Nothobranchius furzeri: one gene and its partners. The protein of the gene in region 3 binds, or shares a complex with, the protein of the main gene of each other region. Links are inferred from orthologs where the notes say so. Each region holds a gene or a part of one and is shown on either strand. Other genes may lie near its edges.

Region 1 (4,074 bases), on a different chromosome or scaffold from region 3:
TTGAAAGTACTTTATTAAAGTATGATGGTGCCGGGTCTGACGACTCTGGCTCTTTGGGAAATGACAAATGAGTAGGGTTGGCAAAACAATTTAAAAATAAATATGCCACATTTAACTAATAACTGCAACAGGTCAAATAGGATACGAGTGAAACAGATCTGATCTTCTGTGTTTTACTACATCACATTAACACGTTCCTAACGGAGCTTCAGACTCGTCTTCTACACAAACACACTCCATGAATAAAAGCTCGCTTCTTAAAGAAATGCCAGCAGGTCAGCATCATATTGACACTTCATGTCTACGAGAGGAACTGAGCAGTGTGAGCAGATGTTGGTCCAGACACGATCTGGTGCTTTTATTTATCAAACCAAGTCAGAACAAAGCTCCAGGCTCCTGATAAAGTCCAGTCCACCTCAGAAGCAAGAGAACAAGGCCCATATCTCCTCCCAATATGGGCAAAGAGTCCAACTTACAGATGGGGAAACCTCTTCATGGGTCTCTGGTCATGATGGAGAGGAACTCCTCCTGATTTACTGAAAAGAAGGGAAAAACACCTGGTCAGATCTACTGGATTTACCTGGAAAGCTTAGACGCAAGAATGAAAGAAAACAAACAAAAAGCGAAGCAGCAGTGGATTTTTGTTACTTTAACTGAACATGTTTACACATTGTCGTTAGTAAATCTATTTTGTTCCAGGGCAGCAGATGCCTGCTGACGTGACAGGATCTGGTCTAACAGTGAAAGCAACAATGTTAGGAACAATCATATAAATAATTAAAATGCCTGTGTGTGCCAGAAGATGCAGTGATGATGTTGGTATTGTTGCATCTGCGGCTCTAATCAGACACAAAATCACAACAAAAGAGAGACAGAGTTGCTCTCATCTCAGACTCCGGTCTTACTTTCTCCATCCCCGTCTGTGTCAAACTCGTCGATCATGCTGCGTAGCTCCTCGTCGCTGATGTTCTCCCCGAGTTCTCGAGCAACCCGTCTCAGGTTCCTCAGGCTGATCTTTCCTGACTCGTCATCGTCAAACAGCTTGAAAGCCTTCATGATCTCCTCTTTGGGATCTCGCTCCAAGATGCGATCCGTAACTGTTGAGGGGTAGGGAAAAGGTTTAGTAGCTAATGAAGCACCTCAAGCTATGAGGTAATACCAGAGCCGATGACCACCTTACCCACTTCGCTGAAATCCTCAAAGGTGATTTTCCCACTTCCCTCTCTGTCGTAATCCTTCAGAATCTTCAGAACATCCACTTTCTTCACTTCAAAACCGAGAGCGCGCATCGCCACCTGACAAGATGTTTAAATGTTGTTTTGGTTTGAATTCAGGATTAGAACAATTAGTAACTAGCACTAAAACAACAAATAAATGTTATTGCTGTAGAACGTTAGCTCCAATTCCCCTGGAGCTTTATTTCAGCAGGGTGCCTTCAGACATGGAAAACCCATTAGCGTTTCTCCAAAAGGTGATTAAATGGTATTTAGTTACTTTTACTTACATAATAATACATAAATACCTGGTGCTCCACATTCACAGCAGTTAAAGAAAAATAGGAATGATGAGGTTATAAAAGCATAACTTATATACGGCATTATTTCAGGCACAAAAACCATAAGGTAACCATAACAACCACCACTATGGCCCATTTTCTTACCTTCAGCTCGTGATAGTCAATCTCCTTATCTTTATCCGTGTCAAATAAGTCAAAAGCTTCTTTAATTTCATGCTTTTGGTCCTCGGTGAGCTCCCTCCTCTTCTTGCGCTTGGTTGTCTCAGCTGCAAGATCAGTTCTGCTGAAACAAACACACATGCAGTCTCACCTCAGACACTACCTGTATCACAGCCATGACTTATTAATGCATTAACCCATACACTTTGTTATCCAATGAGAACTAAACCATTTTCTGTAATGTTTATTGGGGTCTCTCTGATGACACAGGGTAGGCTAAAGGATCTTAAAAAAATCTACCTTATGCCTTGTTCTAAAAAAAATCAAAAGCAAAATAACCCAGAAGAACATCTAAAGCTTTGTAGGTCAAACTTGGTTAAGGTTTAAGGTCATGTGTCAACAATAAGGTAAACCTCATTCTCCAAAGCCTCTGCTGAACAACAACAACAACAACAAAAACAACCCACATTTACCAAAAACATTGGGAGGACCTCCAAAAGTCTGGGGGAAATTGTTTATTGACAGATGGAAAAAAACAAAACAAAACAAAAAACTAGTACATTCGGGTCCCCCACCGTTTCTCCGCCAGCTTCTTTGTAAACTGTTGTGTTTAGCAATATTATTTCAAGAAAATCCCTAAAAATATATATCTTAATCATTTGGTCATTGCTGTAGCTGTGAAATTCATCATGTTTAGTGAATATCACTAATTCTAATCTAATTCAGATTACGATACAATTAGATAATATTACTCAATTTACAGTTATACACAAGGGACTCGTTCCCTCATAAATGTCTTATCCTGATAAAAAAAATAACATCTACGCCTATAATTGTACAATTTGGCAGGACGAAATCATCTTGACGAGACAAGCGAAGGCGTACGTTTTTCAACTGGGGAACAAATCTCGACGTACCACCGGTTTCAACTGAACTGTAACAGCCACATCTCGCGACAAAAGGTTAGCTCCTTACCTTAGAGATAAACTCATTCCAGGTGAATTTATAAAACCTTTAAACCAAATGTTATTCTGAATGCTATGTGGCTACAGCTTCCAGCAAACACAACAAATCCGTTTATCCGCGCTCACACACCAGGAATCCTATTGGTCGCTGGTTGCCAGGCAGCAGTTAGGCGAGATCTGGTTGGTTAATGTTACTTCTTCAAGGCCGCTTACCCGGTCGTTGTCATTGCTCTATGCAGTCAATTAGAGCACTATTGCCACCTCGTGTTCATAACTGATACCACAGTCTATATTATACATATGGATGGATATACATATGCCCGGTATATATATATATATATATATATATATACACATACAAACCAATGATGAATCAAAAATATTCTGACACATCACCATTGCATAAAGAAGAAGAAAGGGCCTGTATATTATGTAAGGTACCTAAATTCTCCTAAAATTTTCAATATCTGGTGAATTTGGACATAGAGAATTATTCTAATGACTTCACGTGCTAATGTAACACTCACAAGGTCTTTATGAACCTCAAATCTTGATTTTGTTTTAAAAAAAATTTTGGGGTGGGGGGACACCCTCTCCACCAGCTGTTAAAGTCTCATACGTTCAAGCTGCTTTATAAAACTATTATTCCAAGCCCAGTTAAATCTTAACTTTCAGAAATTCTAAGCAGCCAGAGTTCAGAGTTGCCAAAAAGTGCTGCTTTTAGTTTTTGCCCACCAAAGAGTGCTCTTTCATAGGAAAAATCTTCTTTCTCTAAACTAAGTTGTGGATGTTCTAACATCGCCAGGACTTTTTGAGTGCCACAGGATTTTAATCTATAACAATGTAGTATGTTACCAGTAGTAACCTTTGTCACTGTGGTGCCAGCTCTCTTCAGGTCATTCACTAATTCCCCATATGTACTTCTGGACTGTTTCCTCACCATTCTCAAGATCATTTGTACCCCACAAGGTGAGATCTTACACAGAGCCACAGGTCGAGGAATACTGTCAGTGATTTTGTATTTATTCCAGTTTCTAATAATTGCTGCAACAGTTGATCTCTTCCCACCAAGTTGCTTACCTGTTGTGGATTTACTCAAGCCAATCTTGTGCAGGTGTACAATCCTGACACTGATGTCGTTTGTCAACTCTCTGGTCTTGGCCATGGTGGAGTCTGACTGACTGAAGGTGTAGACAGGTGTCTTTTATACAGATACCAGTTGCCACTAATTCAGTCAGCAAGTGGAGGATAGATAAGCTTCTTAAAGAAGAAGTAACAGGTATGTGAGGACCAGAATTATTGCACATATGTAGGCACTAAATATGTATCTTCTGCACCATGATACAAATAATTTCTTAGAAAATTTTACAGTGTGACTTCCAGGATTTTTTACATTCTGTCTCATAGTTGAAGCAAACTGTAACTAGGAATGCA
Region 2 (3,940 bases), on a different chromosome or scaffold from region 3:
CAGACGGCAAGCCACAACAGACGGCGCCATCATATTAAAAATATCACAAAAATAGGTTTTCACCATCTAAAGAACATCACCAGAGTCCGCCCCATTCTCTCTCGGGCCAATACGGAGACGCTAGTAATGCATGCTTTTATCACCAGTAGGATAGACTACTGCAATGCCCTGCTTTCTGGTCTTCCTAAAAAGAGGACTTCAGGTCTACAACTATTACAAAACTCAGCAGCACGTGTCCTGACGAAGACCAGGAAGCGGGAGCACATCACTCCAGTTTTAGAATCACTGCATTGGCTCCCCGTATGTTTCATGTGTGTATGTGTGCCGGACAATGAGTGTTGTGAAGGGGTTTTTATTCTCAGACTCTTTTTAAAATTCTGGGGATGGGAGGGAATGTGGGTATGCGGGGCCTTTTTAATTTGTTAAGCACTTGGGAGTTACATGCATTGTATGATTAAGTGCTATATAAATAAAGTTTGATTTGACGGCTAATGCAGGAAGAAGGGGTAGAAGATCTGCATGTTAAACTCACCCGAGTGACCAACTGTATTTCAACAATAACAAAACTGGTTTAGTCTTTAAATAAAATGGTAAACTGCTGAAAATTTTAGATACAAGACTCCTGAAATATGACACTTTAGGGGAAGGGTTGATTTTCTTGTGTTGGGTGCATCGTGTTTAGGTGTGTGAAGTCGCTACAAACTTTAAATACAAAAAACATTTGATCTATTTCAGAAAATGTCAAAAGCTATTAAGAAAAACTAAGCCAAAAGGCCAAGGTGAAAGACTAGGGTCTTTTAAATGTCAGGTCAACTTTAGCATTTTAGGCTTTTTGTTGAGACAACAGAAAATGTGGTAAAATACATGGTGCTCACATTATAGAAGGGCATCTTGCTTAGCAGGCTATCCATCAGCTTGTACATGCTCTTGGCAGCAGGTTGCAGCATCGCCTGTTTCATCAGCATCTTCCTAGTGTCTTCCAACCTTCCCTGTAGCACATAACTTAAAACCTGAAACACACAAAACGCAAAAAATGAGATCTCCCACTGTAGTCTGTCAGGAAAGAACATATTATTTAAAGAACAGGGATTAAATAAATGATCTAAGAGGGTTTTTACAGCACATACCACATCCCAGTAGTCACGATGCTCAGCAGGGCTGTCACTCTGCAGCACCCCCTTCGCCTTCTCATCCACATCGGATTTATGTAACCTCACCCAGTCCAGAAGGTGTAGTAGGAGGGAACCAGCTGAGAAGACACACACACATCACTGCATTGTTTTTTGAGCGTGTGTTCATAATCTCAAAGTCAAATACTCTAAGAAAAAATGTTTTCCGAAAAGAAAAAGAAGAATTAAGACTAATCAGCCTCTGACCTGGAGCAGCATCAATGAAAAGCACTTCACACAGATTCCAGATCAGTTCTATGGCCAACAGGATGGACACCTGTGACAGGAAAAATCAGATGGACATCAGAAAAATGGACCAGAGAATAAAAATGTTATGTCATGTGTACTTAGGACCTTACGTCATGAACTAACTGCATGGTGAATATATTTAGTTAAACTCCAAGACAAAACATTTTAAGTACATGCCTGATTTCCGTACTGTGTGGCCATATCTGTGTCATTTGCAGAAACTGTACAAAATGCATAATAATGGAGTTTATTATTCTTGCATAAGATTGCTCAGAACATGTTTTTAGTAAAATTCAAGACAGCTCACCTGCAGCTTGCTGAAGCTCTTCCATACAGGCTCGAATCACAGACCTGTAGTTTCTGCTGATGCTTACAAACCTGTAAAGAAAATCTCAGTTATCATAAGTAACATTTATCTGCTCATTTTAACTTAAAAGCAGGGTGTACAGTGGTGGAGGACCCCGTGGAGCCTTCTTACTGTGGTTTTTTGCTCTTGCTTGGGAGATCATCTTTGATTGTCTGCAGTCCAACAAAGATGTGATGCGACTCGTTAAAAAGTTTTCTTAAGATGGGGGAATAGATGTCCTCGTCTTTCCGCACCACGTGGATGAAGGCACAACCTGACCCTGTAGGTCCTGAAACAAAGAAAACACATTACACAAAATGCATCAAAAATACAGTTAAAAAAAAAGCACTTGAGGCAGGACTTTGATTTAAAAACTCCTTCTACCTGATGCTTTGTTTTGTGTCTCATACACAAGTATATCACCAGGACCCCATGCAAATCCCATACGCTTCCCAGGTCTGATTCCAGAAATATTCTGCATTTAAAAAAACACAACATTTTATGAAGTACAAAGAGATATTTTATTAAACACTTTAATCAAGCAAAACCTTGCATTTCTAAAAAATTAGTATTATTAAATAGTTGACCCACTTCAAACTATAAAGAATGTCAATGTTGCCCCATTTTTAACTAATGAATACCATATAACAAACACATCAACCAACTCGTACAGGCGTTTACAAGCTAATAATAACACTTCCCTCACCTACGTTTGAAGTCACTCGCACAGTGATTATCCTTTATTGCGCGTTTTACTAAACCCAAAATAAATTGTTGGTTTCGTGATTTCAGAAGGTTGTTGCGGTTCCGCTAGCTTGTTAGCAGTAGAGTGGCTATTAGCAGTAAAAACCATGGTAAAAACACACAAGAGACAACTTACAGTAACTACCGGCTCAACGTCTACTTCCTCCATCTGGTAATAATGTTTCTGATGCAAAGAAAATATAAAATACAAACTATTCAGCTACAAAATATACATTAAATACATGTGATGCTCTCATCTGCTATTACGCGCCGTGGTTCATGGGTGCTTGAAATCCACTATTGCGCATGCGTCACGAAGGGCTGCCCTTTCTAATGCCTGTTTTTTAATCGACTGCTGTTAATAAAGCAAATAAAATTGTCCCTCTCATATACATTGGAATTAGATAATTCGTAACGCATGATTACGCAATAAAATGTGGTTATGTGGAGTCAGATTTACCTTTAATATTAATTCACTCAAAAACACAAACATTCCCACTGGAAAATGTTTATAAAGAGCACTTCTGTGAAATATCCTATAACCTATAACTGAACTGAAGTTGCTTTTAGGCATATTTAGTGAAACAAGATGGCCGCTGGTAAACAGGGATAAGACCAGTAACATGGGTATCATGTCTTCCAAGTTTGGATACCACGCAGTAGAGGGATGTTGACTAAACTTCCCGACGCAGACGTGAAGTAATTCACGCAATAACTGTCTCATTTGATAATGTCTACGTTCATAAAGCTTAAAGCAAAAGGGAAAACATCGCTGTGCGCGTGCATGTGGATTATAGCGCCTCTGTGACGCGCTCGCGGGACTCTCCCGCCCATCACCAGACCGCGCTTTCACCTCGTGACCAATTTAAGCAAATGAGTGTCGGCCAAGGTGGACGCGCACGGATACAGGGTCGCGCACGTTTGCAAGATTATTTTAAACGGGCACGAGTACGTGCGCGTGCTCGTATTCTTTGTGTGGCAGCGTAGAGAAGCGCCAAAAGAGTGACCATGGCTGATGAAAAACCAAAGGTTAGTGTCTCCATTATGTCGACTGAGTTTTTTTTACCCGCTTTGGAATGTAGGAACTTAAAAGGAAGAAGCACAACTCCGCATGTTGCGTTACAGACCATTTTAAAGTTGCTTGATACAATTCACCTAGCTGCTACTTTGATAGACCGGAAGGTTTGTGAGCGCGCATCCGCAGGCGCGCATTCTCCTTCCTTCCTCTTGATAACATACAGACGACCAGCTGGTGTCGTCCTCAGTCCAAAAGTCATGTGAGTTTGTGTTGATCTGGGAAAAAGATTTCAACTAGCTTGTGTAAATTAGTGCAACATTTTTGTCTGCACTCAACAGTTTCATATTTCTTAAAAATAAAAAGGTCACATTTTTACAACTACAGAATCTTCATTCACTCTGTGCCATGATTTAC
Region 3 (3,512 bases):
AGCTGAAACTGAGAAAAAACAACGGTATGAACCGAAACGCCTGTATGTTTCAGGACCAGTTAAACCGATATGAGAAGGCGATCTACGCCGGCCTGAGCGGAAACCTCAAACCAGTAATTCCATTTACAAAGTAGAGGAGTGATCAGATTGATGCGTTGACCTGTGGAGGTGACTGGTGGTTTTTGTTCAGCTCCTTTCAGTGTGTGAGTCATGGGAGGACTGTGTGTGGGCCTACTTCAGAGTGATGGTCGACTCGCTGGTAGAGAAAGAGCTTATGTCGTCGGGCATGGCCCATCAGGAAGTAGAGTCGCTACCCCGAGAATATCTGGAGGCCAAGTAGGAAACACATTAACTGGAAGAAAATATTCCAAAATAAAGTTTCTGACGACTGTACTGTCTGGGGTTTTCTTCACAGTTGGACCATGGAAAAGGTTTTTGAGGATCTCCAAGCGTCAGAATCAAAGGTGACGCTCTCGCCGACCGATTGTGTGGATTAAAATGAGAAATGTCTGACAGCGCCTCATCCTGAAGCTCTTTCTGTGTTTATGTTCAGAGAGTTCTGGATGAAAGTAAAGAACATCATCACATCATCCAGAAGTTTGTCATCCTGGGAGATCTTGACGGTAAAACAACCCAAATCTTTGTTGTTGTTTTTTTCTTATGGAGGCTGAAAGGGATCAAAAAGCTGCTGATGGGCACGGGCCAGCGTGTTCCCTCGCCCGGACCCGGGTCACCGGGGCTCCCCTCTGGAGCCAGGCCTGGAGGTGGGGCACGATGGCGAGCGCCTGGTGGCCGGGCTTTTACTCGTGGAGCCCGGCCGGGCACAGCCCAAAGAGGAAACGTAGGTCCCCCTTTCCATGAGTTCACCACATGTGGAAGGGGCCGGGTGGTAGCTGTATGCAGGGACCTTGGAGGTCTGATCCTCGGCTACAAAAGCTGGCTCTCAGTATGTGGAATGTCACCTCTCTGGTGGGGAAGGAGCCGGAGTTGGTGGGTGGGGTTGAGATGTTCTGACTAGATATAGTCGGACTCACCTCGACGCATGGCTCTGGCTCCAGAACCAGTTTCCTTGAGAGGGGTTGGACTTTCTACCACTCTGGAGTTGCTCCCACTGAGAGGCGCCGAGCAGGGGTGGGCATACTAGTTGCCCCCCATCTTGGTGCCTGTACGTTGGGGTTTACCCCAGTGAACGAGAGGGTAGCCTCCCTCCGCCTCCGTGTGGGGGGACGGGTTCTGACTGTGGTCTGTGCTTCTGCACCAAACTGCAGCTCAGACTACCCACCCTTTTTGGAGACCTTGGAGGGGGTGCTGGAAAGCGCTCCTTCAAGTGACTCCCTCGTTCCGCTGCAGGACTTTAACGCTCATGCGGACAACGACAGTGAGACCTGGGCCCTCATTTGTCGACCGTTCGTAGAAAGGGTCCTCTATTCCCTCTTACGACTGAAATTTAGAATGTGTGTGTGCGGTGGCCTCTCGTACGCACGTCTGATGGTAAATCCCAACCTGTGCGTACCCAGGTGCTCGTGTCCGTTCTCAGTAATTTACATACAGAAATGGACTGGAATCGGATTAATGCGGTTTGTCTGTCGCGCCACAAAGGGTCCCAAACCACAGCATAGCAGCAGGATTTGTTTTGAGATCAGAGCGCTCATGGAGATGGCGTTCCCTTCAGAGAGCACGCTCTGCTAAATCCTCCATTAACACAGATCAGCCGTGATATTAAGTCAGATTTCCATCGGTCACGGGTGTCTTTTATTGGTTTTAGCACTAATTATGTGAAAAAGCCATTTTTCCACCGACATAATTACATACTGGTACCGGCAGTCCAAACGGAATGCAGGTCGGATGATCACAGAGGCAAAAACACATGTGTGGGAGGAGTTTGGTGAGCCCATGTAGCAAGACTTCCGTATAGCTTTGAGAGGAGATTCAAAGCTCTTGATTTACAGGTCGATCTGCATTCCTACCCTGACCTATGGTCACGAGCTTTGGGTAGTAACCTAAAGAATGAGAGCACGGATACAAGCGTCCGAAATGAGTTTTCTCCGCAGGGTGGCTGGGCTCTCCCTTAGAGATAGGGTGAGAAGCTCAGTCATCCGGGAGGGGCTTGAAGTAGACCCGCTGCTCCTCCACATCGAGAGGAGCCAGCTGAAGTGGCTTGGGCATCTGATCAGGATGCCTCCTGGACGCCTCCCTGGTGAGGTTTTCCGGGCACGTCCAACCGGGAGGAGACCTAAAGGTAGACCCAGGACACGCTGGGGGGACTTTGTCTCTCGACTGGCCAGGGAACGCCTTAGGGTTCCCATGCCATACCATGCCATAGTTTACTTATACAGCACATTTAAAACGCAGCATGGGAGCTGCCCAAAGTGCTGCACAGGCTGGACCAAATCACGACCAATCAAAGCAACAAAAACAGAAGATAAAAATACCGATCAGTAAAAGCAAATAAAAAATGAGGAATACTAAGAACACAATAAAACACTAAAACGAGTCACGGTCTAAAAGCCAAATCGTAGAAGTGGGTCTTTAAACGAGATTTAAAAAGTAAGCAGGTCAGAGAGATGGGGAGATGCCAGGTCATCGAGTGCTTTAAAGACAAAAGTCAATAACTCAGTAGCTGCTGAGAGGGAAGTCTGGGCCTCTCGGCTTAGGCTGCTGCCCCCGCGACCCGACTCCGGATAAGCGGCTGAAAATGGATGGATGGAGTTTAGTTGTTTTTTTTTAATATATATTTTTTTAAGTTTAGTGTTTCAATCTGATTTTCTCCTTGAGAGCCAAAGGAAGCTGCTTTAGTTTTAGCTTTGTTACAAAAGGGATAAAACTGTGTTCAGGAATGGATGGAAAACAAAAATTTTAACAGGCAGATTCTCTATTTTATAAATGGTGTTTACAGTTTTTCCACAAAAATAAGCAATCAATGATGAACAAGAGTCTGCTTCTAGACCTGCAGAAAGAGAAAAAAGGGAAATATAAAATCAACATTATTTTACTGAACAATCACGATAATAAGTCACAGTGCATTTAGTGGCAACCACAGCCTTAAGACCTGTGTTGAACGTGCCCAAGTCCATACTTATGAGAGCACCTAGTAAGCACCTGTGTGTGTACACACGCTTGTTTTTGTAAGGTTTCTCTATAGGAGCGTCCAATAGAGAGTGTGAGGGGCCACAGATCTGCCCCCTAAAGATGTGTAGGAGACAGGGGGAGCTCCAAGTCTCAGAAATCCAGGAGCTGCCCCAGAGCACAGGGACCCCAGGGAGACAGTGACCAGAAAAGCCCCTACCCCCTCAAGAGGCGCAGAGGATCGCCCTGGGGGCCACAACCAGCAGCCGGCAAAGTCCTGGGAGACATCAGCGGCAAGCCCACAGGCCCGCCCCGCAGCCTCCCACCCCCAAGCCGGCTGAGCCCGGGACCCGGATCCCACCAGGCAACCACCGGATCAATCAGGCAGATGCCAAAAATCTTAAACCCCTCTGACCCGGGAGCCGCGGACACTCAGGCAGACCGAA

Evidence for each region. The genes of interacting proteins can lie anywhere in the genome.
Region 1: nup107 (region 3) and cetn3 share a complex: the UniProt entries of both Homo sapiens proteins name them as parts of the nuclear pore complex. The link is inferred for Nothobranchius furzeri from reciprocal best matches to the Homo sapiens genes NUP107 and CETN3.
Region 2: nup107 (region 3) and nup85 share a complex: the UniProt entries of both Homo sapiens proteins name them as parts of the nuclear pore complex. The link is inferred for Nothobranchius furzeri from reciprocal best matches to the Homo sapiens genes NUP107 and NUP85.

What each region holds. Positions count from the first base shown.
Region 1 is NC_091746.1:37,904,227-37,908,300, reverse strand, and holds the start of cetn3 (centrin-3), read right to left. Parts: upstream 2,812-4,074; 5' UTR 2,668-2,811; coding exon 2,651-2,667; intron 1,800-2,650; coding exon 1,661-1,799; intron 1,296-1,660; coding exon 1,181-1,295; intron 1,098-1,180; coding exon 906-1,097; intron 537-905; coding exon 493-536; 3' UTR 1-492. UniProt on the Homo sapiens protein: Plays a fundamental role in microtubule-organizing center structure and function. As a component of the TREX-2 complex, involved in the export of mRNAs to the cytoplasm through the nuclear pores.
Region 2 is NC_091752.1:54,263,470-54,267,409, reverse strand, and holds the start of nup85 (nuclear pore complex protein Nup85), read right to left. Parts: upstream 2,812-3,940; 5' UTR 2,678-2,811; coding exon 2,645-2,677; intron 2,240-2,644; coding exon 2,149-2,239; intron 2,054-2,148; coding exon 1,897-2,053; intron 1,797-1,896; coding exon 1,726-1,796; intron 1,640-1,725; coding exon 1,596-1,639; intron 1,447-1,595; coding exon 1,377-1,446; intron 1,250-1,376; coding exon 1,128-1,249; intron 1,011-1,127; coding exon 876-1,010; intron 1-875. Other genes in the region: small ubiquitin-related modifier 2, read left to right, coding at 3,517-3,537. UniProt on the Homo sapiens protein: Essential component of the nuclear pore complex (NPC) that seems to be required for NPC assembly and maintenance. As part of the NPC Nup107-160 subcomplex plays a role in RNA export and in tethering NUP96/Nup98 and NUP153 to the nucleus.
Region 3 is NC_091741.1:38,075,446-38,078,957, reverse strand, and holds part of nup107 (nuclear pore complex protein Nup107), read left to right. Parts: intron 1-53; coding exon 54-113; intron 114-190; coding exon 191-336; intron 337-415; coding exon 416-464; intron 465-553; coding exon 554-623; intron 624-3,512. UniProt on the Homo sapiens protein: Plays a role in the nuclear pore complex (NPC) assembly and/or maintenance. Required for the assembly of peripheral proteins into the NPC. May anchor NUP62 to the NPC. Involved in nephrogenesis.